5 linked regions of the Macaca mulatta genome follow. The protein of the gene in region 2 purifies or fractionates together with the protein of the main gene of each other region. This does not show direct contact. Links are inferred from orthologs where the notes say so. Each region holds a gene or a part of one and is shown on either strand. Other genes may lie near its edges. The genes, in order: DMD, TNS2, DTNB, UTRN and SNTB2.

Region 1 (5,840 bases), on a different chromosome or scaffold from region 2:
AATAAAGCAATATGGGAAAGGTTGTCACAGTAGGCAGGAAGGAAATCTAACATAAACTAGAAAAAAAGATTGTGAAATATTATTGGAACATAGATTATCTCTGCTATAGATTGAATAGGTAGAATTTAGTTAGATAATACCGAGAAAGGAAGAGTTCTTGAGAAAGCATCGCAGCATTTTCAGTTAACTGGAATAAGTTCAACATTGGGGAGACAATATATATGGGGATTAATAAAATATTATGGTTGGAAAACTGGTTTGGGAGTAGACAGTGAATGGCCTTGGATGCCACGTTTTACGATCTGAGTTTTAATCTAATGGTAATGAGAGTGATAACAATAACAATAAGAAAAAACTGCTATTGGTTAAAGAGGGAAATAATATGATTCCACTTGTGTTTTCAAAACACTCCCATGGCAAGAGGAAGGAGGAGAAGAGAAGATTCCTGGCTTCACTGTAGATCAATAATTAGAATGAGGTAAGACCGAAGCAGATATCAAAATGAGCCAGTGCATTAATGGAGTCAGTAATAAGACCTGAACAGACCAGGCATAGTGGCTCACACCTGTAATCCCAACACTGTGAGAGGCCGAGGTGGGTAGATCACGAGGTCCAGAGATCAAGACCATCCTGGCCAACATGGTGAAACCTCGTCTCTACTAAAAATACAAAAATTAGCTGGGCATGGTGGTGCACACCTGTAGTCCCAGCTACTTGGGAGGCTGAGGCAGGAGTAATCACTTGAATCTGGGAGGTGGAGGCTACAGTGAGCCAAGATTGTGCCACTTCACTCCAGCCTGGGTGACGGAGCAAGACTCCGTCTCAAAAAAAAAAAAAAAAAAGACCTGAGCAAGGACAGTGAAGATGTGGAAAAAGAGCAAATGTAGACTTGAAAGACAACAGCAAGGTGATCATGTTGAAGTTCTCTGACTTAGATAAGTGCTTTAAAAATTATTATTAATCATCATATTAAAGGGGAAACTTTCTGTGGAGCATGTATTTTCAATATACATTTAAGTAAATTGGAAGAAAACTCATGTAGACAGTAGAGTTCAATCATACTTTTTAAAAGTAGCGAAACAGCAGAAAGAAAGGTAATATGGCAAAGAATCATGGATGAGAGATATTGGCTATTTATAAATGATAAAAGATGATGATTTTTACCTGATCATTACTTCATACTGGTCAGACAAATAAAAACAAAAGCTCTCTCTTCTAAGATGACAAAATCTTAGTCCGAAAGTTCACAACTGGAGGGACTATTTAAACTGTCATCTGTAGAAAACAATTTGTGAAGTTCGAGTTTAGGGAGGCTATGAAGACACCATTACATTGAGTTTATTGTTCATAGTTTGTTTTATGTACTGTAAGGGCATATTGTTAGTATTCTCATGAGTTGTTTTGTAACTTAAAATTTCTCTAGAGGGGGATATGATTTAATGTTCTTGAGAGTAACATCATAAAACCGCATTTGGTAGTAATTTTTTATTTTTAACAATAGCAGACTTCACACACCAGTGCTCATACAGTAGACCATAAAAACGCAGTCTTAGTAAAAATATTCTTTTCCTCAAGAGCTACTTAGAGACATCCTTTAAACATGGGAATCGTTTTTGGGCTTGTGTTTAGACATAACACAATGATGAATTGTATTAGAAGTAATCAGCACACCAGTAATGCCTTATAATGGGTCTCGTTTCAGAATCACATACAAACCCTGAAGAAATGGATGGCTGAAGTTGATGTTTTTCTGAAGGAGGAATGGCCTGCCCTTGGGGATTCAGAGATTCTAAAAAAGCAGCTGAAACAGTGCAGAGTACGATTTTTATATGATGTCTTTAATATGAATAATTTTGTATGAATATTACTTGGTTAGATCAGTGTTTTACAGCTGGGGTGGATTTTGCCCTCCCCTCACCAGCAGATGTTTTTTTTAATGCTTGTAGACATTTTTGATTGTCATAACTGGGTTGGGGGTGGTGGTTAGATGCTACTGGTGTCTAGTAGGTAGAGGACAGAGATGCTGCTAAGTATCTTTCAGTCCATTGAACAGCCCTCCACAACAAGGAACTGCACAATCTAAAATGTCACTAGTGCCAATGTTGAGAAACCCTGGGTTGAGTAAGTGAGGAATTGAGAAAGCATTGCCTTGTACTCAACGTCAGTTGATAACATTATTTTGCTATAAAATGCAGTATAATTTAAAGGTAAAGAATCCTTTGAGCTACTTGTTATTTCTTACAACAAATTATTATTCATACTGTGTTGTTCTCTTCATGTATAATGCACTGTACTATAACACAATATGTAGTTTTGAAATAATATTCAGTATACCACTGTCATGCAGCAGGAAGAAAATAATCTTGCTCTTTAAAGAATTTTTTTTTACAATACAAGCTAAAAAAGCAAATCCACCTTCACACCCATTACACTGTAAACAATTATCTGCAATATCCTGTGTTTGAAAATGAAAATACTAACCAAGATAGTAAAGTATGAAGCCCATTTTCACACATTTTTCTAACCAGAAATATTAGATTTATTTCCTTTTGTTTCTGATATAAGTAAAATACAAATAATTCCCCACTGGATTCATGCCATAATAACCATTGAACATTTTTGCAAGACTGTTATGCAGTTGTCTATATCAATATATTTGTATCTCAGATTTTAAAAGACAAAAATCCATATGCGATGCCATCAGTCCTAATTTTACATTTTCTAGCTATGTTGCATATTTAATATGTGGCAGTAATTTTTTCAGCTGGCTTAAATTGATTCATTTTCTTAGCTTTTAGTCAATGATATTCAGACAATTCAGCCCAGTCTAAACAGTGTCAATGAAGGTGGGCAGAAGATAAAGAATGAAGCAGAGCCAGAGTTTGCTTTGAGACTTGAGATAGAACTGAAAGAACTTAACACTCAGTGGGATCACATGTGCCAACAGGTATGGACAATGTCTTTCACTGTGGCTAGTCTCAATGTAGTTAAGATTTCCTAATGTCTCCCTTCACCATTACTTTTGTTTAAGGCTTTGTTCCTACGCTGTTGCTTTAAAGCACAATTAATTCTGACAAATTAATCTTTTTTCTAGCATATATAAATATTTTCATAGTATGTATTTTAAATAGTACACATTCATCTTATTGTGGTCCTAAAATGACTTTCTTGAAACAGCTGTCATACTGAAAAATGAAATCCTATTCGTAGTCATTATTTCCAATCCACGTTTTCTTCAGAACATAAATGTATAATAATAGATTAAGAAAAATACATTTCACAGGGATATTTGGTACAAAATAAAATGAATGGGTAATATATGTGTATGTAGAAATAGGGTAAATAATTTTTACTTTTGATTAACATTTCCAAGTTTGGCCTCTTCAATACATTTATTATTTATTTATTTTATTTTTTGGGACAGGGTCTCCCTCTGTGCCTCTGTCACCCAAGCTAGAGTGCAGTGGTGTGAACTCGGCTCACTGCAGCCTCAACCTCCTGGGCTCAAGCAATTATCTCATCTCAGCCCCCACAAGTAGCTGGAACTACAGGCGTGTGCCACGATGCCTGGCTAGTTTTTGTTATTTTTTTGGTAGCAACAGGGTCTTGCTATGTTTCCCAGGCTGCTTTTGAATTACTAGTCTGAAACAATGCTCTTTCCTTGGCCTCCCCAAGTGCTGGAGTTACAGGTGTGAGCCACCACACCCGGCCGACATCTATTTTTAAATAACAATTAAGATTCAGTAACCATTAAGAATAGCTGAATAAAAAAAAAAACCACAAAATGACTGTACACTCATATTTGAGTTTCTCATTTTTCTACAGAAGAATATTTTATAGATACCTATTTTATAGTTAAATATTAAATGATGGATAGTAAGATACATTAAAAAATAATGTATATCAAATAATTTGTGTTCAGAAGGTAAAATTTTGAACTAAAGCAATGAATACTTTTAAGTCACCAATACATTAGTCCCTGATGATCTGCAGTTTTGCTTTCCATGGTTTCAAATGCTTGTGGTCAATTGGAATCCTAAAATTGGCGAGCACAGTAAAATAAGATACTTTGAGAGGGAGAGAAAGAGAGATAACGCGTTCTGTTTTATTAGCTGTTAATCTCTTACTATTCCTAATTTATAAATTAAATTTTATCATTTGTATGTATGAATAGAAAAAAACCTAGTGTATATAGGGTTAGGTATTATCTATGGTTTCAGGCATCTACTGGAGGTCTTGGTATGAAAATGCCTTCCACAGATACAAGGGAACTACTGTGCCTTTTTGGAAATTAATAAGGAGTTTCAATTTACGTGTTAGAGGCAGTCAGTCTCTCGTTACTGCTAAGTAAACTTTCAAAATAGAAAAGAAGTAATGTCAAAAGGCAAAAGCTACATTTGAAAATGAAAAAAAAATTAGAAAAGTCAAGGCAAATCACTCAGCTAATACAATCACTGACAAATGTTCATTGGTTCTATTAATTCATAGATGAGCTATCCCTGGGTCAGCTAGCTCATATTCTTCTTCTGAAGTAAGTCAGTGCTAGAAGAGTTGTTCAGGAAAAAAAAATTATATTACTTAAATAGTAGATTATACTACTGATGTTTTCTTGGAAAGCCAGTATGAAAGGTATTTGTTTTTTGTTTGTTGAATGTTCTTAATGGATGAATAGAAAGAGCACCAATTTATGTAGAGTAAGGGGAAAACAGCAAGTAAATGAATAAATAAATAAAATAAATAAAAAAAGGTATAAAACTAACAATATTACTAAAACCTCAAGGTTTTTACATTTTATAGGAATACAATTTGTAAAGGCTGTCTACTCTTAAAATTTCTTTACTTAAGACCTTATGTCTGTTATATGTACTAAGAATTTGTTGTTCAAGAGAAATATTTTAAATACATTCATCTGTTGCATAACAGAAGAGCTATAGATCAAGCTATGTTCTGATCCCCATTTTCTAATCTTAGAGTATTATATGTATCTGTGCTTTTCCTTCGAGTATCACTCTGGCCATGTTATGACTTTGTAGATAAATGAGTTAGGTTGTGAAAGGAAGGAACAATGCACTAATGTAGAAGAGGAACAAGATGCCGTAAAAACAAGGAAGCCAGATGTGAATACTGGTACCAATTCAGCGTTCCAGAGAGAAGAATGGAAATGAAGTGTAAATCTATGCATTACAGAAATATCTACAGACAAAATAAGTGTGTGATACAGTCTTTTGGGTTAAAGATAATTCCTTATTTGTCACCAAATGCCAATGTCTGCAAAAACATAAATAATTTGGAACAAAATTGTCCAAATATCTGATATATTTGAGGATGCTTTGACATCCCATGATCTAATTTTGGATGTATAAAATGATTATGATTATTTTAAATTCTAAAGGGTATGTATCTAAGTTTTTAAAAATCTAGATTCTAGCTATTAAAAAATTACCAGATATAAGTGGGGAATAAAATAGACATTGTACTTATCCTCATGGAGATAACAGTTTGGTGGTGAAAACGGAAAGTAAATGGGTAAACACATTATCACAACAATGTCTGGTTTTAAGTCTTGCTATACACTCTGAATGTACCAGTAAGAACCCTTTAAATGAGAGGAACAGGAGCAGGAAAACTACTTTCTATTGGGTAGTCAGTAGAGTCTTTTCTGAAGAGGTGAAATTAAAGCTGATACCTCAGTAGTAGGAACTTGACAATTTGCTGTGTGACAGAATTCTGGCTAGAAAATGAAGTGGAAGGAAACATCTGAGTCAAGAGAGAGCTTAACATGTTTGAGGAGCCAAAGGAAGCCACTGGAAGCCACTGGAAGAGGAGCAGCATGAGCCAGG
Region 2 (6,594 bases):
ATATCCTGGGGACACACTTCTTGGCCTGGAAAATTGGAGCTTCAAGGGAGAGGTCTCAGGCTAGGCCCAGCCCAGTCAGGTTCTCACAAGGGTCTCAAGTGGGCACCCACAGCAGGCCTCACCCCAGAGAATGCAGGATTCTCCATCCCAGAGAACCCTTCCTGATGGGTATGAAGGAGCAGGAGGCAAATAGAAGGGATCCCGTGGGAGAAGCCAGGGCTGTGGGAGTTGCCTGAGTACTGGGACATTCAATAAATACCATGCAAATGAGAGGGGCACATTTGCACATTCTTTCAAGTGACAGCTACAGCCGGTCCCAGGGGCTGCTGTCCACAGCTTGGGGCTGAAGACTCCCAGGCCATTAACCCCTTAGCTTTTAGGGAGATTACTCCCCCTTTTCCAAGGCCCCATCCATCTCCCTCCCTTGACTCCCAGGACGGGAAGTTGGCCATGTTCCCAGGAGGGAGGCGGGAGGCCCGTGGATGGGGGTGGAGTATGTGTTGGGAGAGGGGACCTCCTGTCCAGTCCTCAGGCCCTGGGACAGCTGCTGAGGAAGGAGAGCAGACCCAGGAGAGCCATGAAGGTAGTACTCAGGCTTCGGGGTTGCAGCAGGGGGAGGGTACAGCCCTTGGGTGGAGAGACCAAGTTGCAGGGCTGGAAAGAGGGCTAGGGATCTGTGAGATCATGTCTGAAACAAAGCCAGGGAATGGGTGAGTGGGGGGCACTGTGTCAGGAGCAGAAACCTGGGGCCTTTCAGGAGAAGGGCCTCATATGCCTTAGGCTGTGGCAGGAAAATGGATTACTCCCCAAACCTGAGCAAAGCAGTCTTGTGGCTGGAACTTGGCCTTGCAAGGTGTATTGAGGGTAAAGGTGGGCGGTGCATGCTTTCCCTTTCCTACTTCATACAGAGTTAAACTGAGACAGGAAGGGGGCCCCCAGTCCCATTTTTACCTGACTCTCAGGACACATTCGGGATCCTGGGCCTGCCTGCTGGTAGTAGTTCCCAGCTCCACTCCCTCCCCAGCGGAAGTCCCTCGAGGGCTTGAGAGTTCTGGCTGGAGCCTGGCTGGGACACACTGTTCCCCACTTGCCCTTTAGCCCTGCCCTGAGACCAGAATTCTCACCCGGCCCCACTGGGGGCAGGATCTCAAGACCATGGATCCCTGCAGATCCCTGGAGAGTGTGGTGTCCCAGGTGTGGGACAACTCCAGAGTTGGGGAATGGGGGGAGCAAAAGATCACAGGCTGACACTCCCAGCAGGGTAGATCCTGGGAATCTGATCTCCTGGCCTCCCCCACATCCTCCCCCCTCCACTTCCTGGAGCAGCGACCTGCCCCCTTCCCGCCTGCACTTCCCTCCACGTCCAGGGCCGGGCTTCTCCTCACACCAGCCAGACAGCCTACCCTCCGCCCAGGGGAAGCGGCTGCCTCCGCCAGGCCGCTTCCAGGAAGCCCCGGGCCAGGCCCCAGCATTGTTCAGGCCCTGGGGCCAGCACCCCAGCCAGCAGAACACCATGAAGTCCAGCGGCCCTGTGGAGAGGCTGCTCAGAGCCCTGGGGAGGAGGGACAGCAGCCGGGCCACAAGCAGGGTAGGAGTGCCCACCAGCTGGGCAAAAGAGGGGCAGGGGTGGAGGTGTGGGCAGTGGGGGAGGGGACCTGGAATCAGGCCAGGCCCTCTTCCCAATTTCAGCTTCCTCAGCCTTCTCTCCTGGCCCAGCATCCCCTCCGGAGTGGCCAGGGCTGTAGTGTGAGGGGATGTTTGGGTTAGAGTGGGTACCGCTGTCTGTTTTGGCTCCTCTCACCTTCCCTGCTCTAGCCTGGGTCAACCCTGGGGGTCCTGGCCCCCCAAACCTAAGCCCCAGGTACCTCACTGTAGGACTTTGCCACGCACTATCCAGGTATCCTAGAGCAGACTCAGAGATCATCAGGCCCCTTCCCGGGCCCGGGGAAGTTTGAGGAAAATGGGGTGGCAGGGCAGAAAAGGAGAGAGGAGAGGGAGTCAGGAGTGCTTTCGAACTGGAGGTTTGCTTTCCACTGACAGCATCCATATCTGCTGCTAATGCCTGCATGCTCCCAAGTGTCCTAGTGGGTCCCACAAAGTTGGTCCAGCCCAGAAGTGTTGCAGGGACAGTCAAAAAACCAGAGATGCTGCCCACATCCCCATCACTCCCTTTCCCAACTTCCCAGTCTTGCCCCAAAAGCAGCAGCTCAGGACAACCTGAGAGACTACTGTGATGGGTCCCCAGGATGAGGACAGCAGGAGTCTGAACTCCAGAGGAGGGGGAATATGGGTAAAACAGAGAGGTGGCAAGGAGACAAGCTGTCCCCAGACAGAGGATAGGAGGAGTGAACCCACAGTGGGAGGGGAAGGGACTGAGATAGGCCTGGGCCATAAGGGGGCATCCCAGGCTCCTGCTTCACTGCACCTCTGGATCAGGAGGGGCTGAACAGAGAATCTGGTCCACTCCTTCCTCATTCAGTGTGTGAATGAATCCCAAGTGCCAGGGGGCAGGGGGTCGGGGGAGACCTCACAGCATCCAAAACCAGCTAAACATCTCTCCCAGTGACAGGCCTCTGTTTCCCTCCAGCATGACCACCCCCCTTATCCAATTGCTGTCTGCTGCCTCAATGCACAATGAGTAAACATGTTGTTCTGACCATGGGGGAGGAGGGCATGTCAGCTGTCTGGAGCGTGGGGACAGCAGGAGCTAAAGGAGCAGGACTGGCTGAGGCCACTCCTGCTGGCTCAGTCTGGTGCTGCAGGACTGACATACAACAGGTATGTCTGGAACCTCCCTGCTCACTCTGCACACAGGTCTCCATGAAGGGAGGACAAGACGGGAAGAGTCAGGGAGTACCCCTACTGCACCAGGGGGAAAGCCTGAGCATGTGGGCTTTCCACAAGGGCATCACATACCAGGGCCACGTGAGGGGCCCAAGTGATCCCCTGGGGAGGAGCTGACCCAGCAAAGGTGACGCAAGGGGTCAGATTCCATACACAGCTGAGGACAGGCCCAATGACCGCCCTGAAGCAGCTGTGGCCAAGTGCGTCCTACAAGTTTGAGGGCTTGATCTGGATGGAGGAAACCAGTGCAGTGCTAAGGCAAGGCTCCTGCCCAGTCCCAGAGATGGAGATGGGCCCACTGGGAACTCACACCTCTGTTTGTCCTTCCACCCTCAGCCTAGGAAAGCTGAGCCTCATAGTTTCCGGGAGAAGGTTTTCCGGAAGAAACCTCCAGTCTGTGCAGTATGTAAGGTGACCGTCGATGGGACAGGCGTTTCGTGCAGAGGTGAGGTGCTCTGTCCTGTGACTCTGAGACCCTCCACCCAGTACCACTGTGTTGCACAACTCCAGCAGGCCAACTCACACAATCTCAAATGTAATATGCTGCTCCTGGATTAGGCACAATGGCACCTAAGAGGCGGCTGCCTCCCCCTTCACATGGCCCTGGCTCCCCATGACAGACACCCCCCACAACCCAGGAGACCCAGTATTCTCCACCATCTTCCCATCCTGACTTGTGACTGTAGTCTTCCTTCCCTCCCTTCCTCCTCACCTCCACCCACCCTGGAACGTTACCCCTGGCCTACGCAATAGTACCCCACTGCCACACTCTTCCCTCAAAACCTAGCCCTGCTCCTCCGCCCTAGCCAGCCCAGTCCAGCTGGGATCCTGGAAGTCCCAGGATCTGGTTCCAGGGTCTGGGAGATGAGGGAAGGCCATTCCTTCCACTGTCCCACAGGCCCCTGCTAACCCCTCTCCTCCCCCTACCTCCCCTAGTCTGCAAGGTGGCGACGCACAGAAAATGTGAAGCAAAGGTGGGTATCTGATTCTACCTGATAGGGGGAGAGGGTCTGGAGTCCCTTCCTCCTCCCAAACAGGCTTCTCCAACCACACTGGCATCAACCCTCCACCTCCACCCCTCTCACCATTGGGGAACCCCTCCTGGGTGGGAGGGGTGCTGACTGGGCCCTTTAAGAACCACCCTACTCCGCCTTCTGGAGGGCTGGCCGGCCCAGGCGGGTGGACAGCGAGACAGCGTTTGTCTTGGTGCTGTGCCCAGGCTGCAGCTGGCGAGAGGATGGGGGTGGGGAAGAGGAGGAGAATGAGGAGGAGGAAGGGTGGGGTGGGTGGGGGGTGGGGGAGCAGGATTTCAGAGACTGGGCAGCCGGATGGGCTGTGCCTTCCCTCTGGGGAAGGGTCCTCAAAATGCCTGGGCGGGCCTTGTCCTGGGCCCTGGAAAAACTGGGCCTTTCCAGAAATAAGCTGTAGATAGCACCCACTGTCCACTGGGCACCCAAGACAGCCCTATCTCTGAGGAGGTTCCCTGGTCTTCCTGCAGGGCAGGGAAGGAGGGTCCCAGGGCCCTGGAGCTGGCTTGGGGGAGCTGTGTGCCCAGGGGCGGGGTCTCCCGGTGAAAGAGGCCAGTGTCCGTCCCTGGCCATGGCCTGCCTGCGTGCTCTATATATAACTCCTGCCCTGCAGCTGGATGAATGGGGGTCTGTGTGGGCTGGGGGCTGAGCGCCAAGAGCAACAAGTGGGGGGCCTGGGGGGTGGGGGACCAAGAGGCCAGAGGGGAGGTGCCCTTAAATAGCACAACCTCAGCTGGAGCCTGTGCCCATCCGCTGAAGGCCCCTCCACCTTCCTCCTGAAGCTGAGGGGCTACCCCATCCTCAAGCCCAGGAGAGCCCTTCACCAGGAGCTCAGTTCCTTACTCGGTACCCTTCCAGGTGACTTCAGCCTGTCAGGCCTTGCCTCCCGCGGAGTTGGTGAGTGCGCTCTGGGATGGGGTGGGGAAGGCAAGGAACCTGGCCATGGTGTCCAGAGGTCTGGTGGCTCCAGAGAGGGCCCCCAGGAGATGACCTTGAATGTAGTGCTGTGGGTATTGCTCATCCTACAAGGAAAGAAAAAACTGTCTAAGTCCTCTGCTGATCTTGTGCCCTTGGGCCTGCTGGGGATAGAACTCCTCTCCCTTTGTCCAGTACAGCCTTCATCAGGACACTGACATTCCCTTCCACTGTTCCCAGGCCCACAGTGGTCCTTGCCCCTGCTGTAACCACTCCCTTTTCCTCCCCCATCTCCCTCTAGCGGCGAAACACGGCCCCAGTCAGGCGCATAGAGCACCTGGTAAGGTGATGCTGGAGGAGGAGGGGGAAGCAGGTAGCTTTGGGAGTAAGGATCTAGATTTCCTGAAGACAAAAGTGTATGGCTCTGGAGTGGGCAGTCTAGAGTAGGGGGCACCCAAAGAGATGTCCAGACACTGTCTGTTATCCACCAGGGATCCACCAAATCTCTGAACCACTCAAAGCAGCGAAGCACTCTGCCCAGGTAAGTGAGGGTGCTGGGGTGGTCCCACGTGACCCCCTTTCCGCCGGCCCCACACCTCAGCCCAGGGCGCTGCCCCTCAACAAAGCTCCCCGGGACAGCCCCCCACCCCCAAAGCGGTATTCTCTCTCCGGACCGACCCACCCACCCTCAGGACCCACCAGGCTTCACCTGCTGCCCAACAGACAGCCTTCCCATCACACTAGCCACCTCCGGGTGCCCTGCCCCTGCGTTCATGCGTAGGCTCCCCCTCCCCAGGAGCTTCAGCCTGGATCCGCTCATGGAGCGGCGCTGGGACTTAGACCTCACCTACGTGACGGAGCGCATCTTGGCCGCCGCCTTCCCCGCGCGGCCCGATGAACAGCGGCACCGGGGCCACCTGCGCGAGCTGGCCCACGTGCTGCAATCCAAGCACCGGGACAAGTACCTGGTGAGGGGCGGGGCCATCAGGAGTCAGCCAATGAGAGGGGCGTGGGGTTCAGATGGGCGAGGCTAATCACTGACGTCACCAGTGGAGGCGAGGCCGCCAGTGGGCGGGACCAGAGGAGTGGGGGTGGGGTGGGGTGGGGTGGGGTGGGGTGGGGTGGGGTGGGGTGGGGTGGGGTGGGGGCGGGGGCGGGGGCGGGGCCCGCAGTGGCGCCTGGAGCGGAGCGGAGTATCCAGGAGCGCTGGCGACTTGGCTGTGAGTGGCTAGGCCGGGCCTTAACTACCTTCTTATTTTCTTTCTTTCTTTACTTTTTTTTTTTTTTTTTTGAGACGGGTCTCTCTTTGTTGCCCAGGAGGTGATCCGCCCGCCTCGGTCTTCCAAAGTGCTGGGGTTACAGGCGTGAGCCACTGCGCCAGGCCTGCACTTTGTTTTAGAGGAAGATTCTTTTTTTTTCTTTTTTTTTTTTTTTGTTTTTTTTGTTGTTGTTGTTGTTTTGAGGCAGAGTCTGCACTCTGTTGCCCAGGCTGGAGTGCAGTGGCGCGATCTCGGCTCACTGCAAGCTCCGCCTCCCGGGTTTGCGCCATTCTCCTGCCTCAGCCTCCCGAGTAGCTGGGACTGCAGGCACCCGCCACTGCGCCCGGCTAATTTTTTGTATTTTAGTAGAGACGGGGTTTCACCGTGTTAGCCAGGATGGTCTCGATCTCCTGACCTCGTGATCCGCCCGCCTCGGCCTCCCAAAGTGCAGGGATTACAGGCGTGAGCCCCCGCGCCCGGCCTAGAGGAAGATTCTTAACTTAGGATCCACCTCCACCTCGTGCCTCATTGCCGGAGGTCCCTTCTGT
Region 3 (5,274 bases), on a different chromosome or scaffold from region 2:
GTCTGCGAACCACTGGTGCAGTATATTACCTAGGAGCCCTGAGAAGGACACTTCATTTAGTTTTCTGATCCACACGAGGAGAACCCGTCCAGGCGCATGAGGCTTGCGGCTACGGTGTCTTCCCAAGGAAGGCGGGCTACTGACCTCCCACATGTCCCGCATGTAACCCATCAGCTGAGCCCTGGCAGTGCAGAGGCCAGAGGCCAGACTGGGAATCCACCGAATGCCTCTTCATGAGCTCTTTTCTTCCAGAAGGTGCAGCAGGAATTCAGATGGCTGTAGGCATTGCCATAGCAACTGCACCCCTCCGAAGCGCTTATGGGCTGCAGGAGCACAGTAAGCAGAGCGAAGAGGGGCGCGTCTGCCAATGGATGAAGCCTCACCAGCAGATGAGAGCGGCCACGAAGGGAAGAGGAGGCTCGGGATGGCTGGGACTTATGGACAAGAACTCGGTGGAGCTGTTGCTTCCTCAAGACCCACGATGTATTAGGTAGCCCTCCAGGGGTCCTCTGGCACAGAAAAACAGCGCCAGCCCAGGCTATGGTGCTGCATGGCAGCCTGGCTCACCCAGGAATCAGTGATGCCGCAGTCTCTCAAAAGACCGTCTACCTAGGTTAAATTAGGCTGCTCAGTGGTCCCAGAGCAATTAAGATGGAAGTGCCCATCTTCCTTCTGTGATGACCATCTGTGTTCCTCGCCAGGGTTGAGGAAAGGGACCCAGTTCCAAACGTCTGACAGGGATGTGGGTCCTAAAGCAGATGCCAACAGTCATGAGGGAGCTCGGGGCTTAGGTAATGGCGGATATTCTAGCTCTACAAGACATCAACCTTAGCAAGAACCAGCATCACCAGAGTGCACCCAGTACCTGAGTGCTGGCCTCAGAGCTGAGGACACAGTCAGCAGGGGCTTGGGCAGAGGAGAGGGCCCCATGCCCTTGGAAACAGGGATCCCTGCTTGCCTGGAAGGCCAGAGAGGGGCCACGGTGAGCGGAACCCCGTGGAAAGTTCGGGGGGACACAGTGCCAACCAATGGGAAGATGAGCTATGGGGGAGAAGAGAAGAAAAGGATGGAAGGAGTGAATACCCACCCCTTCTATTTTACCCTGACTGGGCCTTGGCAGGCTTCCCTGGGACTCCATCCGTGCGCGGCCAGGAGTTGATCCCACCGGCTCTGCACAGACCTCCTCAAAGCCAAGGTCAGGGGTCTGCAGAGGTGGGTGGGGGATGCCAGGGAGCCAGCTGTGGGGCTTCTCGCTTCATTACAATCACTGCCCTTTATAAATATTTATAGCAGTTCTTCTGCTAAAAATAACATCCTGGAGCCCAGGGAGGAGGAAAAAAATAAATGAAAATCACCGGGAACGGGACTTGATCACGTGTACCCGAGCCCAATGGACCCCTAAGGCGAAAGGCTGCGTGCAGCGCCCCCGGCGGCGCGCCCCCTGGCGGCCACGGAGTCCGCGGCGCAGAGAGTCCCTCCCGCCCTCTGCCAGGCGGCCAGCCGGGCTGCGGCGCGCGGCGCGCGGCTCGATCTCCGCCCCTCCCTCCCGGGTTGCAGGCGGCGGCATCACACAGGGCGGGCGGAAGCCTAACCAGTGTGAGGCTATTTTTAGCACCGTGGCCAGGGTGTGAATGTCTACAGAGCCGAGCAAGGCCTGACGCTTTCTTTGCACGCTAGAAGAAACCTGTTGGTTCTTAAAGGTCAAAGATAAGGAAACCTGTGCCCCCACGTTTGGGAACACCCCACGTGCTGGCCAGACGCCAGGCAGAGTTCCATCAGGTCACAAACACACAAGAGCTTGGTGCTTTTTCTTTTCTCTTTTCAACCTCCAGGTAAATTCCTGATGCGGAGATGAGACCATGCCCTGAGGGGAGTGATGAAGGTGCTAGTACATGCAGGGCTGTGCAGGGGGAGGCCCACCAGCTGTGTCACGCAGCCCCTCCCCGCTTCCCACCGGCTCTGGCTCCCCTCTCCCTGGCGGGTGGAGTGACGTCTGGCAGCCTGCAAGCCTGGTCCAGGTGTGCGGTGGAAAGATGGAGAGGAATGTGCCTCTGGGGGAAGACCTTGCCTTCGCCATGTCGGCGCCAGCTTGCTCCTCGTCCTCTGTGCCTGCGCAAGACACACTCACCGTTAGTCACGGGCACTGCTGAGGGTTCAGGACAAAAGCTGCTAACATCTACTGTGAACAGGAGGCCCTGCGGGGAGGGGCTGCTAGGATGCTGGGCGCCTTTCAAGCGCTGAGCTGAAGGGTGGTACCTAAGGTCCTCTACTACCATTCCTAAGAGTCAGGAAGTGTTTCCATGGAGAACTGGGTTCACAATGCAAGGTTTGGAATGGGGTGCTTTCTTGGGGAGAACTGTGGCCTAGGAGAAGGGCAGGGAGGACTGACGTGTGCCGATGAATACTAAGAGGAAAGGGAGGAAGCCTCAGCCCCAGGCCATCAGAGCGCAGGCCCGGGCATCCATGGAACCGCGGCGCCCAAGTTTAATGCTTATAGTTTAACTCCCGACTGTTGGTGTTTCTCATCACCCCTGATGTGGGTCAGAGAGTGCACGATTAGGAGGCAGAAGAACCGGCTCCAATTCTGCTTCTGGCATACAGCTTCCGGTGTGGGGCTTTGTTTTCCTCCATGTGCAACAAGGCGGTGGGGGCACATGGCTCTGCCACGTTTCCTTGCACCCTAGTTCCTTCCGCCCGGGGGAGAGAGGGGCTCTGGCAGGCTCCTGCAGGGCGAGTCAGTTCCTGATTTCCCTCCTCGGCTGCCACGGCCTAGGCTTGCTTGGGAAAGGGCCTTGCCTGAATGTGCACAGTGAGTTTAGGGAGAAGCGTCTCTCCAAGCCCCTGGGGCACTGTGATTTCCAGGGCAGCGAGAGAATGCGCGTGGCCCAGGTGCTGCCCACCTCTCAGCTTGCACAATCCAGAGTCAGCGCAGGCTGAGGCTGCAGGGGCCCCAGGGGAACGGGCAGAGCCCTTCAATGGCCTGGCGCAGTTGGGCAGAGAGGGCTGAGAGGGCCAGAAGCTATTCCAGGATGACAAGACTTGGGAAAGTCTGAAAAAACTCCTTTTCTGGATTGTGGGGCTAGGGCCCTGGCTTTTTCATCTGAGGAAGATGCCTAATTTTTAAATATGAGAAGTAGGGGAAGGGGGAGGGAAGACAAGATTTTAAAATGGAGAAGTCTGATATCTTGGCGCTGGGACTAGAAAGAGTTAAGGTGTTGAGATGGAAAATGGGAATGACTAATTCCTAAAGGCAATGAGCATCTGCCACTGGAGCAGTCTGTACTTTCCTGCACTGCTTCTTCGGGAAGTGAGAAGGTGCAGCTTGGCCGGGCACCATGGGTAGCGGCTTGGTCAGCCCTGTATGTAGCGTGATCCTGCATGAATCACATGTCTGTGGGTTAGGGACTGTGACTCGGTGCAGTGCTGGGTGACAGAATCCAGGGACGCACTGGCTGTGGTTTGGATCCCAGGAAGGAAGTGGGCAGTGGCTGTGGTAAAGGAGCATGGGAGGCAGTGCTCCCCAGGGAGGTGGCCTTGCTCAGCACGCCCTGTTTCAGCCAACGGTGTTGGGTCTGCCAACGTCATCCCAACACAGAGGTCACCAGGCCATGCCCAAGGACCAGGCATGCAGACAGTGCCGTGCAAGACAGGACACGGCCTAGAAATAGGGCAAGGAGGGCACATGGCCAGGGTGGGCAAAGGGAAGGGAGTCGAGCTCTTGCATCTTCACCTGTTAGGACCGTCCTGGCTTGGGACCTGTGACTGCAGAAAGGAAGGGGAAGGGAAGATGTTGAGGAAGGAGGGAGGGCCGTGGGGAGGCAGAGGACTCTCTGTACTCACCTGAGCTTCCTCTGTGTCCGGCTCCTCTGCTAACCTGTGGCAGCACGGGCAGAAACAACACGCTGAGGTCACGGCCAGGTCTTCTCATGCCCCAGACTATGCTTCCCTGAACCACCCACCCCAGGGGCTTCCTTGCTTCTCCCCTGTTACTTGTATGTTGACTTTTCCCACCCAGGTATGACAGCAGGGTAGAGTCATACTTTCTACTATCATAGCCAACCCAAGGCAGCCATGGAGACAGATGCTTCCCAGGAGAAGGAAAGTCATTAAAAATGGAATCAAATCTCCTTAAATCCAGGGAGCAGTTACATGAGGGGGGGCAAAGCCTACCCAGCTCTAAAAGTTCCCCAAGGGACTGCACCTTGGGTGAGGGCAGTCCCCCTCCTGCAGATAGTCTGCTTTGAAAAGCCATGCGCTTGCTCACCCGGGGCTCGAGCACTGCCTGGCCCCTCCCGAGCCTGTTCTGTTCTCTGAGGGCCACTGCTGTCCAGCCTTGCACCAGGGCTCTTTATGGATGCAAACTGGATTTACAGCCCCCACACCGGGATGGCAGGGTCTGGGAGGGGAGATTCTGAAGGACACAGGAGCGTAACATGAGGCTCTGGAGGGTGGAGAAGACATACTATGGGGGAAGGTGTCAGTCTGTGCTTCTTCTATGTGTCTTGGTTACACTTCTCTGAGAAGATGCATAGGAGGAAGGGTACCCCAATGGAGCAGAAGCGTTCCCCAGGATGCAGCCAGCCAGCCAGCCAGGGGCGAACAGGGAGAGGCGTGAGGTAGGGGTGAATATGGCAGGGAAGTTCAGCTTGGTCCAGATTCTTCAAAAGTCCCATTTGACTCTAAGAGTTTCCCTATCGAGCAGACTGTTTGCCTGACAGTGCTGACCAAATTCTGTTTATATTACGTCAGCATAGTTTCAACCCCAAAGAGGCAAATATACTCTCTCTCTCTCTTTACAGTTGACAGTTACAGATCTCTGGTGTCCAGGTGACTGCAGTTAGTTCTAGGTCTGTAAAATTTCAGGCCTAGCTCATGGCAGAGAATCAGGAGGTCCACCCACAAAAACACTTAGTCTTAGAAAAATGCCTATGTATCAGCTACATTGTAGTTTCAGGGACATATCATAGGACCTATATAATGTGGAGAGCCAAACATAAACACTCTACCATCTCTCACCCCAACTATTAACACTCTTGGCCTTAGGGATGACACCAGCAAGTCACATAAAATTCAGGCATTCCCACAAAAAGATTTCACATAGACATACAGACATTCTAGTATATGCATTGAAAGACAGACAAGGAGCTCTAAGGGCAAGAGGCACAGAAACAAGAGATGAGGACAGGGCAGTGCAGGTGTAAAGACAGCACCCTGGGGCCTGGAGGGCTGGGCAAGGGAAACCCAGTCTGATGCGGACAGGGCAGTGTAGGTACA
Region 4 (5,840 bases), on a different chromosome or scaffold from region 2:
ATCGCTTGAACCCAGGGGGGAGCTGAGATTTTGCCATTGCACTCCAGCCTGGGTGATAGAGCAAGACTCCATCTCAAAAAAAAAAAAAGAAAAAAAAGAAAAGAAAGAAAATGTATTTAAACACTATCAATAGTGTTCTCACAAGCTTCTCAGAGGTGTGTTTAATGTATTCCTAAAATTTTACGCATCAGTTACCTCAGTGTTTCACTGATCAATAAAAGTCTTCAGTTTACAGAGAGCATATTTTATTCTACCTTTCCTTATCTTAACTATGAAAAGTTTATCTCCTAAGCTTGTGACCAAATTAAAAGCCCAACTAATATCAGTTCCTCCCGTAACGCTTGATGCTTTCCTGGATCACAGACAAAGAAACAGCTCTCCTTAAAGGTTTAGGTACAGACACCTCTCAGAATTTGCTCTTCACCCACACACCGTGTGAACGCCAGCAATGGTAGGGTTCTTCACCACTTACAGGGTCAAAAGAACCCTTCTCCAGTTGTATGAAAGCTATGTACTTTCATAAGAAAACTGCACATCACATATAAAATTTTACCCTGCCCTTTTATCCCTGGCTCAGAAAAGTCTCATCCCCATCAATTCCACCGTGAGCTACTAAATGAAGAGAACCCTGAAGAAGTGTTGCAACTTCATGTTAATGATAGACATCATCAGCCTCTGAGATGCTAAGTGCTGCTCTTTCATATTTGGTAAGGTATCAAAGAAATACGAGACAGATTTACTTTATGTTCTTCTAGCAGCTTTTGTAGGGATTGTACATCATCGTCCAGGGGGCAAGTTTCCATCTTCTGAATGCGCTCCTCTGTGAGTGTTAACCAGGTGGAGAGCTGCTGCAGTTGCTTCTTCTGTAGTTCCATCAGCACGTCGTGCAGCCTGCCCGTGGGGAGCACAGCATTATTCCTACAAGCCTTTTCCCTTTGCAAAGTCAAATACACATTCTGGGCACCAGAGATACAGGGCAAGGGAAAACACCCTTGTCTAAACATTCTAGGTAGCATTTAGTCTTTAAATATAGAAGCCAGGAAAGTAAACTTTTATTTTTTCCTAAATGGAGTTCATTAAATGCAGACAAAGAATGCAAATAACAGCACCCTGTATTCATATCAGAATCATTATTTCTTCAGTCAGGAATTCCTACTTATTAAATAGGTGGAAGTTTGCTCCAGAAGATACAATACATGAAATAAAATAAACCATGAGAAAGCTTTAAAATAAAAGTTACAAAATGGAAAAGTAGATCAATACTACATAGTCCTGTCTTCACACCAAGTTAATGTTTAGCTGATTTTAATATTGCAAATAAGTAACTGCCCATATGAAATGTCTTTTCCTTTTTCTGGAGACAGTCTCACTTTGTTGCCCAGGCTGGAGTGCAGTGGCTGAATCTCAGCTCACTGCAACCTCTAACTCCTGGTTCAAGGAATTCTCAAACCTCAACCTCCCAAATAGCTAGGATTACAAGCGTGGCCCACCATGCCCAGCTAATTTTTGGATTTTTAATAGAGACAGAGTTTCACCATGTTGCCCAGGCTGGTATCGAACTCCTGGCCTCAAGTGATCCACCCGCGTCGGCCTCCCAGGTGCTGGGATTACAGGCATGAGCCATCAGGCCTGTCCTCTTTTCCCTTTTTGTTAAGTTCTGTATTCCAACTTTTACCTTCTGGTACGGCTAGCACACCAAAGGGGAAACAAAGATCATGCAAAATTCCAGCAATATTACCCATAGAAAAGAGTCTTACTTTTCCGAGGCAAGTTCTGTAATCATCTTGCTTTCACAGACATGCAGACATCTCCTAGAGTTCAACTGTGCAAAGCAGCCTGTGGAATTAAGTGCATTTCTTGGCTTTCCACTCACCGGGACTGTCTGTCCATACTCTCCACCCTAAGAGCCTCCCATCTAGCATTCAGCAGAGTCATCTGTTCCTGAATCTCAAATTCCTCTTCGTCTGATAGAGTTCCTTGTGTTATCAGTTGGTTGCCTGCCTGCAGGACGCTGCCCACACTGCTCTGGTGTGCAGTCAGTTCCATCATAAAAGCCTAGAAAGGGACATTTGGTATAATTTGTGAGTTACTCGGTGCAAAAAAAAAAAAAAAAAAAAAAAAACTGAACAAATTGCTAATGCCTAACCTAAATGTCAGTGATGCAAAAAAAGGTAGCCTAGTAGAGTGCAAACAGTGCAGACATTGACCCCATTTTTTAAGCTCTGAAAATAGGAATAATCACCTGCCATAAGTTAAAAGAGACATAGCTAAAAGCAAGCAATGTTGCACCTGATAATACCAGCTATTTTAAAGTAAATGCTGACTACACTACTCATAGACCATGGACATGAAATTCTAAATAAATACAATAAATAAAAGGCCGGGCATAGTGGCTCACACCTGTAATCCCAGCACTTTGGAAGGCTGAGGTGGGTGGATCACTTAGGCCAGGAGTTCAAGACCAGCCTGGACAACATGGTGAAACCCCATCTCCACTAAAAATACAAAAAATTAGCTGGGCGTGGTGGCACATGTTTATGGTCCCAGCTACTTGGTAGGCTGAGGCAAGAGAATCGCTTGAAGCCAGGAGGTAGAAGTTGCAGTGAGCCGAGATCACGCCGCTGTACTCCAGCCTGGGCGACAGAGTAAGACTCTATTTAAATATATATATATATATATATATATATATATATATATATATAAAATATAAAATAAAATACCATACTCACCCAAGAGGAATTATTTAAGAGATGTTACCACTTATATTATTTTCCATCCAAAACAACAAATAAGATCTGTCAATTAACATACTTATACAAAAGAAAAATTTAACCAAAAGAAATCTCCATATAGTGAAATTCACTATGCTGCAATATAGTATGTCCTCAAAGGAGCAGGAAACTTTTAAGATATAAAAAAATACAGGAACCCTGGGTATGACATTTGTCTAATCATGCAATTAAAAAGAATAATCATTTCCTAGGGAACACTCAGATCTTAAAGATTTGGTGTACTGGTTCACTCCTTCGCTTTTCAAATATAACAATGCACTTCAGAACTGAGCAGTACTATGCAATGATTTTCATCAGTGGCTCTCCAAAACATACAAGGAGACTAAAATCTAAAATCTAATTCTGAGGCACAGTTTAATGACCCATACCAATTATGTAACAAAGCACTATTTAAATATCACAGTTCCTGAAATAAACCATTGACCTTTCCAAAGAACAGAATTCGGTAGATAACAAATAGGAGAGTAGAGTCCCTAATTAAGACTCAGGTACCGTGGGGGACACACCCTGCTAAGAAACTACAGATATTTACTTCATGGGTTGCAAACTGGTCTTTGACTTCTTCAACATCATCAGAAATATCATCCTGCTCCTGGAAAGTGTCCTCAGCAGAAAGCAACCAGGTCAGCACTTCCTCCAATGCTATCTGATAGCTGTCCAGATCCGCGTCAACCTCAGTGACAGTGCTGGGGGTCTCAGCTCGGGGAATCTCATGCTTCTCCTCGGGCGCTGTACTCTGTAAAAACAAAGCCAAGAAAAACCCACACTTACAATGAAAGCAAGAGGTGTTTAGCGAACTCACACTGTATGGCAAACCCAAAGTAGACACCACTCTGTCTTAGGCACTAATCCAATTCTCAGGAGCCAGGTGGGCACAGCCGTGAATGAGTCTGAAGCATTGAGTAAGTGCACTAGGGTAGCAAAGAGTATAAAAGCAGCATGCACTCATGAATTCTGTACTCAAGGAGATTCTAATATAGTCAGGGACAGAGAACCTACATGAATCACTTCTGAACAGAAATTAAAAAACAGCTATTAGAAAAGTTGTAAATGCCATGCATGGTCCCAACAAGGCATGATATTTGAGTTCAACAAAGGCTAAAACAGTCAGGAAAGTTTCATAGAGGAGTTACAGCATGTTGGGCCTTTTCTGTAATTTAAAGAAAAAGAAAAGTGAGACTTCTGCTTTGACCCTTAGGTAAATTGTTTTTGCTGAACTGCATTCTATCATTGCATTTTAGACACTAAAAGACAGCCACACAGGCTGTTGTACTGATTGTATTTTTCTTAGGCAATTGCCCTCTGGTTTATTTGATGGCCTTTTAGGGCTCATGGAATAAATTTCTTTCAACTTCTTTCTAAACAACTGAGTATTTCCTTATATACTTTAAGAGCTTATAACCAAATTGACTCTCCCTAGTTCTTTTATTCCTTTTCAGAGCAAGACTTCTTTAAGACTTGCCTACATTCCGTCTCTACTTTATCAACTCTCACGCATAATTTTTAAGTAGAATATTTCAAACGTACAGAAATGTATAGAGAACAACACAAAAAATGCTCAGGTATTTAACAGCTACGGTTTGTTAACATTCCCTCTAACTTCAACTTGCTATTTGCCCCATGACTCAACTGAAAACGCTTTTGCCAATGTCACCAATAACCTTCCCATTGCCAAACGGACCTTTCCAGCATCATCTTCACGGTGACCATATAATTAACCAACAAACTAATTTTTGATAATAACGATGCTCGAACAATAAATCTAAATCAGAACTGCCCAAGAAAGCCCAGAGAGCTGGCCACCCACGTTCCTTGCTTCAGCCCTCGGTAGCATTCCTCAAGGCTGAGCAACCTCAGCTTCCGGAAGCTTCTTTCCCTGCTTCTGCGACACTGCCCTGGTTTCTTGCTGGTTCAACAGCAGCTGCTGACTCATAAGTAATGAGTCTCCCCTAAATTAAGTCCTGGGCTCTTTTTTCTCCCCTCTCTATAGTCTGAGTAATCTCATCTACTCTTATTGGATTTAAAGAACCATCTAGAACCACCTAGGAGTCTGGATTCCAAACTCTCATATCCCACTAATCTTCATATCTCTACTTCAATGCCTCCTAGGAATATTAAACCATGTTCATATTCAAACCCTTCACTTTATTCCAATTGTTCCTCCTCAGGCTTCTCCATCTCAGTAGAAGCTCCTCCCTACAACTAGGTACTCCAGCTACAAACCTGGGAGCCAGTCCGGCTTCTCTCCTTCACCTTCCACATTTAATATGTAAGTAATTCTGACCTTCCTTCAAAACTTATCTCAAATCCATCCAGACCTTTCCCTTTCCACGACCACCTACATCCATCTTCTGAACCGGAATACCTGCTAACAACTGCCTTTACTTTACTGTTTTCCCCCACCCAACACTCTCACCTTCATAATCCACAGTCCTTTTCTCACACAGCAGCCAGAATGATCTTTCAAAAATGTAATCCCATCATAAGACGTACCTGCTGAAAACCTTTCGCTGGCTTTCCCAATGCTCTTAAGATATAATTTAAAATTCTTAGCACAGTTTACAAAAATACTGTGATAGCAAGAAACCAAGATAGAGAGACAGAAAGAGAGAGGCAGACAGAGCGTTGTATTTTGATAGATTAATCAGAAAAGACTTCTCTGAAAAGGCTCCATTTAAACTGAGGAAAAATGTGCAGCCTGCCATATAATGGTGGGTGGAGAAGCATTTAACAGATGGGAACCTGCACGAACAAGAATCTTGGGGAAAAAGTGGAAAAAGTCCACTCTAACTGCAGGGCAGAGTGGCAGAGGTAGGCCACATCTTGTAAACTATAGGAGAAAATGAAGTCTTTAATTAGTATGAAGGCTGGAATAGAATGAAAACACACACAAAAGACATTTTGGAGGAAGACTTGAAGAATCCAGCAAACTGAATATATGAGTTAAGAAATGAGCCAATCAGCACAGAGTTGAAACCATGGATAATTGAAAGACAGATGGTGCCAAAGACAGAGAAATAAAAATGAGTTAAGTTATGGACCAAAAAT
Region 5 (5,840 bases), on a different chromosome or scaffold from region 2:
CATTTATTAGTTATTCTAATTATGCTTTATAGAAATGATCACTGTACTAATATTACATTCTCATTATAATTTTATTTGAAATGTTCATAAAAAGTTGAGAAGTGGCAAAAAATAAAATAAAAAAATTACTCTTGCTGGTGACCAAAATTGGCCCCTGAATTACCACAATTACTTGGTACCACCAAGATCACCAGGCACCACCACAGATCTACCACATCAGAACTGCTTTGAGGACAATATCCTCCTCAAATAAATAAAATCAACCTGGGCTTAAAAAAAAAAGTTAGAACTATGTTGGGGTGGAAGGTGGGAACCAGTGGGAAACTGTACTTAAAAAAAAAAAAAAAAAATCAAAACTGAAAGAACAGAATCCTTCCTGTGCTGATTCTGCTGTATTTGGGAACCAGTTATTTAGTCCACTCCCTGGCCCTTTGCACACACAACTAGGATTCAAAACGTAAGTTTCAAAAAGACTCAAAAGCAGTGAAAAACAGAGCTAGCACTTAAACACTCATCTCTGAACCCCCTAGTCCAGTCCTTTTTTTTTCAAGCCCCTCTAGCCTAGCTGATGGTGAAGAAAAAAGATGTAACATAATGTCACATAGAACTTTTACTCTCCTTTTGTCAAACCTGGGATCTAAAATAACTTGGGCTTTCAAGTTCTTCTTTTCCTTTCACTCAACATCTACTCAGGCTTTCTTGTTTCTTTTTTTTTTCACTTTTCAGTTATGGAAGACAATTGTACCTCTGTCTAATTGTAAAATCGTTTGTATATTTTATACTTTTCCCAGAGCAGGGGAATCAACTACAGCCTGCTGCCCCTAGAAGCTCTTCTAGTCAGGAACAAGGGTTGGGAAACTATGACCCCTGGGCCAGATCCAGCCAACCACCAGTTTACTTGTTTTTGTAAATAAAGTTTTACTGAAACGCAGTCACACCCATTCATTTTCCTATTGCCTATTACAGTTGTCTTGCTACAACAGAAGAATCAAGTAGTTGTGATGCTATCTTGCCCTCTACAGAAAAAGTTAGCTGAACCTGATCTAAAATCATGAAAATTATCCTCTGTCATTAAGGATAGAGATGGTAATAAGAACTTCTTTTTAGTAACAGTATGATAGTGATTACTATGTCAGTTACTTCTGGTTGAGTGGATAATTAGCAACAAATAGCCAAAGGTAGAAGGAGAAAAAGGAAGGTGAAACAAAAGACCGAAAAACAAAAGATCTGCAAGTTAGATATCCAGGACCTAACTGCATGTTAAGTATTACAGATATCTAAAATGAGGAACCATCCTGGCTCTGAATGGGAACCAGGTGATACCTGCCTCCCAGCCTACCTGTTCTGCCAGCCAGGCAATATGCTTGACCTCTTTACTGCCTCCTGCTGTACTGGTTGCCCCAAGCATGGCGTTGAGTTCAGCCAACACCTGTGGGAGGAGAGCCATTATGTTGGTGTGGATAGCTACGAACCAGGAGTGTGCTGTGGCTGTATCTTTGCAGCGTAGGATCAACGTGTTCCTGCTATCAGGAGAATGTAGCTCTATCAATCTGTGTGGAAAAAGAAAAAAAAAAAATGAGCTAGGACAGAAGTCACCAAACCTGCCAGGTTTAAAATACATAACTGCAAATCTATTTTAACTTAGCATTTTCAAATACATCTGTATACTCAAATAAAGATACTTTCAGGCCGGGCGCGGTGACTCAAGCCTGTAATCCCAGCACTTTGGGAGGCCGAGACAGGTAGATCACGAGGTCAGGAGATCGAGACCATCCTGGCTAACATGGTGAAACCCCGTCTCTACTAAAAAATACAAAAAACTAGCCGGGCGAGGTGGCGGGCGCCTGTAGTCCCAGTTACTCGGGAGGCTGAGGCGGGAGAATGGCGTGAACCCGGGAGGCGGAGCTTGCAGTGAGCTGAGATCCGGCCACTGCACTCCAGCCTGGGCGACAGAGCGAGACTCCGTCTCAAAAAAAAGATACGTTCTCAGCCAGGCACAGTGGCTCACGACTGTAATACCAGCACTTTGGGAGGCCAAGGCAGGCAGATTGCCTGAGCTCAGGAGTTCGAGACCAGCCTGGGCAACACAGTGAAACCCCATCTCTGCTAAAATACAAAAAATTAGCTGGGCATGGTAGTGGGTGCCTGTAATCCCAGCTACTCAGGAGGCTGAGGCAGGAGAATAGCTTGAACCCGGGAGGTGGAGGTTGCAATGAGCCAAGATCAGACCACTGTACTCCAGCCTGGGTGACAGAGCGAGACTCCATCTAAAAAAAAAAAAGAAAAAAAAGATACTTTCTCTTAATTCCCTAGAGCTCAATTCCAAAGAAAACAACATATGGAAAGATAAAAATCAGAGGCCGGGCGCGGTGGCTCACTCCTGTAATCCCAGCACTTTGGGAGGCCAAGGCAGATGGACTGTCTGAGATCAGGAGTTTGAGGCCAGCCTGGCCAACATAGTGACATCCCGACTCTACCAAAAATACAAAAAATTTAGCCGGGCATGGGGGCGGGCGCCTGTAATCCCAGCTACTCGGGACGCTGAGGCAGGGGAACTGCTTGAACTAGGGAGGTGGAGGTTGCAGTGAGCCAAGATCCAGCCTGGGTGACAGAGCAAGACTCTGTCTCAAATAAATAAATAAATAAATAAATAAATAAATAAATAAATAAAATATATTAAAAAATCAGAAAGACCAACTTGGGCTAGTTACTGAACCCGAGAAAAAATTAAAGAAACACCAACTGCTGGATCTGTCGTTTCAGTGTCAAAGTAATAAGCTGAGGGAACTTACTGTAGTCTACAGTAGATAACTTTACCTTAATTTCTATGTCTAAGAAATGAAAAGCATGCTTGCTGAACCATATAGGCACATTGAAAAGAAGGAACTGATACTCTTTTAAACATTTAGGAAATTCTGGTATAAAGTAGTGCCAGCTTAAAAATGTGTACTGCCAAATAATGAACTGAAATTTACATTATGTGAAATAAATAGAAAATTAGCAGCCGGGCATGGTGGCTCACGCCTGTAATCCCAGCACTTTGGGAGGCTGAGATGGGCAGATCACCTGAGGTCAGGAGTTTGAGACCAGCCTGGCCAACATGGTGAAACCCCATCTCTACTAAAATATACAAAAATTAGCCACGCATGGTGGCACATGCCTGTAATGCCAGCTACTCAGGAGGCTGAGGCAGGAGAATCGCTTGAACCCAGGAGTTGGAGATTGCAGTGAGCCAAGATCGCGCCACTGCACTCCAGCCTGGGTGACAAAGTGAGACTTCCTCTCAAAAAAAAAAAAAAAGAAAAAAGAAAATTAGCAGATTATTACTCTTTATGAAAATTTAGAACTGTGTTTGGGTACTTTTATGTGATTACTCATCCAGTGAGTTATGGTAGAAAAATAGTTAAGGGAAGGCCAGGCGCGGTGGCTCAAGCCTGTAATCCCAGCACTTTGGGAGGCCGAGACGGGCGGATCACGAGGTCAGGAGATCGAGACCATCCTGGCTAACACAGTGAAACCCCGTCTCTACTAAAAAATACAAAAAACTAGCCGGGCGAGGTGGCGGGCGTCTGTAGTCCCAGCTACTCGGGAGGCTGAGGCAGGAGAATGGCGTAAACCCGGGAGGCGGAGCTTGCAGTGAGCCGAGATCTGGCCACTGCGCTCCAGCCTGGGCGACAGAGCAAGACTCTGTCTCAAAAAAAAAAAAAAAAAGAAAAAAGAAAAATAGTTAAGGGATCAACACTATGACTGTTCTGTATTAGTTAATGCTCACCAAGAACAATCTATATTTCAAAAGTAACCTTTAGAAAACTGCTAAAATATTTTAAATATACATTGAACAAATTCTTTATAAAGCAATCTATTGAATATTGTTTTGTGTTTTAATCAAAGTTCTTGCAAAGATGAATTTTAAAAGTCAAATAAATAAATAAATAACATATATACTCTGCTGTGAACACATATCTTTTAAAATGGAAAAAAAAAAAGCAATTAGGAGTGTTTTTCATGGTAGGCTACAAATTCACAAACCGCCAATGACCAGGGAGTGAGTTTTCTTTACATTATTTTCTGAAGACAGTTTTTGTTGCCTAAAGGCACTATCATCAGATTCTATGCCACTTGTCAAAAAGATAAGCAATTTACAAGTACACCAGCATTTCTGCTTTGAAGCTCTTTTGTCACAGTTTCTAAGCCCTTTATAATTCCAAATACTTTAAGTTGTCATATTTCGTATTACAAATATTCATTTTCATTTGAATTCTGGTTGGTCTATACTTTCTTAAATAAACATTTATTGAGCACCTACTATATGCCAAATACTGTGCTAGGCACTGGTATTGGAGATACAGTGATGAAAAAAGTGTATCATCTAGCTACTTCCAGGCCTACCTACTAGTCTATCCATCTTTTATATGCTGTCAAAGTTTTATGGTAACAGCAAAATAGGACAAAAGTTCTAGAAAACAGAAGACATAAAATAAGAGTTGTGAACAGCCAAAAGGCTTAAGAAAAGTCTGTATTTGAAAGTTCATATTACTCAGAGGAAAACCTTTAGATATCAAGTTTTAAGCTATTTGCTTTTTATTTAGACACAGTTCTGATGAGCTCTTTATTTGATTTCCTATTATATACCTACGTATATTAAGAGGTAGCTTGGTTCCAGAATTTAGAGGGTCTTGAACAGCAGGTTAAGTCTGAATATTAATTGGTAACTTTTTTTTTTTTTTTTTTTTTTTTTGAGATGGAGTCTTGCTCTTTGCCCAGGCTGAAGTGCAGTGGCACAATCTCGGCTCACGGAAACCTCTGCCTCCCGGGTTCAAGCAATTCTCCTGCTTCAGCCTCCCAAGTAGCTGGGATTACAGGCACACACCACCAAGCCTGGCTAATTTTTGTATTTTTAGTAGAGACAGGGTTTCACCATGTTGGCCAGGCTGGTCTTGAACTCCTGACCTCAAGTGATCCACCCACTTAGGTCTCCCAAAGTGCTGGGATTACAGGCGTGAGCCACTGCGCCTGGCCTTAATTGGTAACTATTAATAACATAGAATCACTTAGGATTCTCAATAGGAGGGCAACATGATCAAAACAATCAACTTAAAAAATAATTTTATGAGACATTTGTACACCCATGTTTATAGCAGCATCATTCACAATAGCCAAAAGGTGGAAGCAACCCAAATGTCCATCAATGGATGAATGGATAAACAAAATGTAGTATATACATATAATGGCATTATTCACCCCTTAATAAGGAAGAAATCCTAACACATGTTACAACACACATCATTAAGGATATTATACTAAGTAAAATAAGCCAGTCACGAAAAAAGAAATAATGTATGAACCCACTTTTATGAAGTATCTACAGCAGTCAAACTCACAGAAAGTGGAATGGTAGGTGCCAGGAGCTGAAGGAAGGGTGAAATGGGGAGGTTTTTAATGAGTAGAGAATTTTAGTTTTGCAAGAAGAAAAACTTCTGGACATTGGTTGTACAAAAATATGAATATACTTAACACTTCTGACCTGTACACTTAAAAATGATTAAGAAATTTTATGTTATGTGTATTTTACCACAATTTAAAAAAATTAGGTCAAGTACAGTGACTCACGCCTGTAATCCCAACACTTTGGGAGGCTGAGGCAGGGAAATCACTTGAGGCCAGGAGTTTGAGACCAGCATGGGCAACAAAGTGAGACCCCATCTCTACAAAAAAAAAAAAATTTTTTTTTTTTTGAGACGGAGTTTCGCTCTTTTGCCCAGGCTGGAGGGCAGTGGCTGATCTCAGCTCACTGCAACCTCCGCCTTCCAGTTTCAAGCAATTCTCCTGCCTCAGCCTCT

Evidence for each region.
Region 1: the proteins of TNS2 (region 2) and DMD purify together in Homo sapiens (affinity purification with mass spectrometry; 3 studies listed by BioGRID and IntAct, with this or other methods). This does not show direct contact. The link is inferred for Macaca mulatta from reciprocal best matches to the Homo sapiens genes TNS2 and DMD.
Region 3: the proteins of TNS2 (region 2) and DTNB purify together in Homo sapiens (affinity purification with mass spectrometry; 3 studies listed by BioGRID and IntAct, with this or other methods). This does not show direct contact. The link is inferred for Macaca mulatta from reciprocal best matches to the Homo sapiens genes TNS2 and DTNB.
Region 4: the proteins of TNS2 (region 2) and UTRN purify together in Homo sapiens (affinity purification with mass spectrometry; 4 studies listed by BioGRID and IntAct, with this or other methods). This does not show direct contact. The link is inferred for Macaca mulatta from reciprocal best matches to the Homo sapiens genes TNS2 and UTRN.
Region 5: the proteins of TNS2 (region 2) and SNTB2 purify together in Homo sapiens (affinity purification with mass spectrometry; 4 studies listed by BioGRID and IntAct, with this or other methods). This does not show direct contact. The link is inferred for Macaca mulatta from reciprocal best matches to the Homo sapiens genes TNS2 and SNTB2.

What each region holds. Positions count from the first base shown.
Region 1 is NC_133426.1:32,394,460-32,400,299, reverse strand, and holds part of DMD (dystrophin), read left to right. Parts: intron 1-1,702; coding exon 1,703-1,816; intron 1,817-2,791; coding exon 2,792-2,947; intron 2,948-5,840. UniProt on the Homo sapiens protein: Anchors the extracellular matrix to the cytoskeleton via F-actin. Ligand for dystroglycan.
Region 2 is NC_133416.1:60,186,952-60,193,545, forward strand, and holds the start of TNS2 (tensin-2), read left to right. Parts: upstream 1-2,501; 5' UTR 2,502-2,634; coding exon 2,635-2,778; intron 2,779-3,180; coding exon 3,181-3,289; intron 3,290-3,780; coding exon 3,781-3,818; intron 3,819-4,730; coding exon 4,731-4,769; intron 4,770-5,088; coding exon 5,089-5,127; intron 5,128-5,278; coding exon 5,279-5,328; intron 5,329-5,583; coding exon 5,584-5,755; intron 5,756-6,594. UniProt on the Homo sapiens protein: Tyrosine-protein phosphatase which regulates cell motility, proliferation and muscle-response to insulin. Phosphatase activity is mediated by binding to phosphatidylinositol-3,4,5-triphosphate (PtdIns(3,4,5)P3) via the SH2 domain.
Region 3 is NC_133418.1:99,628,085-99,633,358, reverse strand, and holds the end of DTNB (dystrobrevin beta), read right to left. Parts: intron 4,412-5,274; exon of another isoform or gene 4,265-4,411; intron 3,875-4,264; coding exon of another isoform or gene 3,870-3,874; exon of another isoform or gene 3,841-3,869; intron 2,110-3,840; coding exon 1,822-2,109; 3' UTR 1,799-1,821; downstream 1-1,798.
Region 4 is NC_133409.1:49,688,758-49,694,597, reverse strand, and holds part of UTRN (utrophin), read right to left. Parts: intron 3,529-5,840; coding exon 3,325-3,528; intron 2,056-3,324; coding exon 1,874-2,055; intron 892-1,873; coding exon 741-891; intron 1-740.
Region 5 is NC_133425.1:64,873,618-64,879,457, reverse strand, and holds part of SNTB2 (beta-2-syntrophin), read right to left. Parts: intron 3,946-5,840; exon of another isoform or gene 3,458-3,945; intron 1,551-3,457; coding exon 1,340-1,550; intron 1-1,339. UniProt on the Homo sapiens protein: Adapter protein that binds to and probably organizes the subcellular localization of a variety of membrane proteins. May link various receptors to the actin cytoskeleton and the dystrophin glycoprotein complex.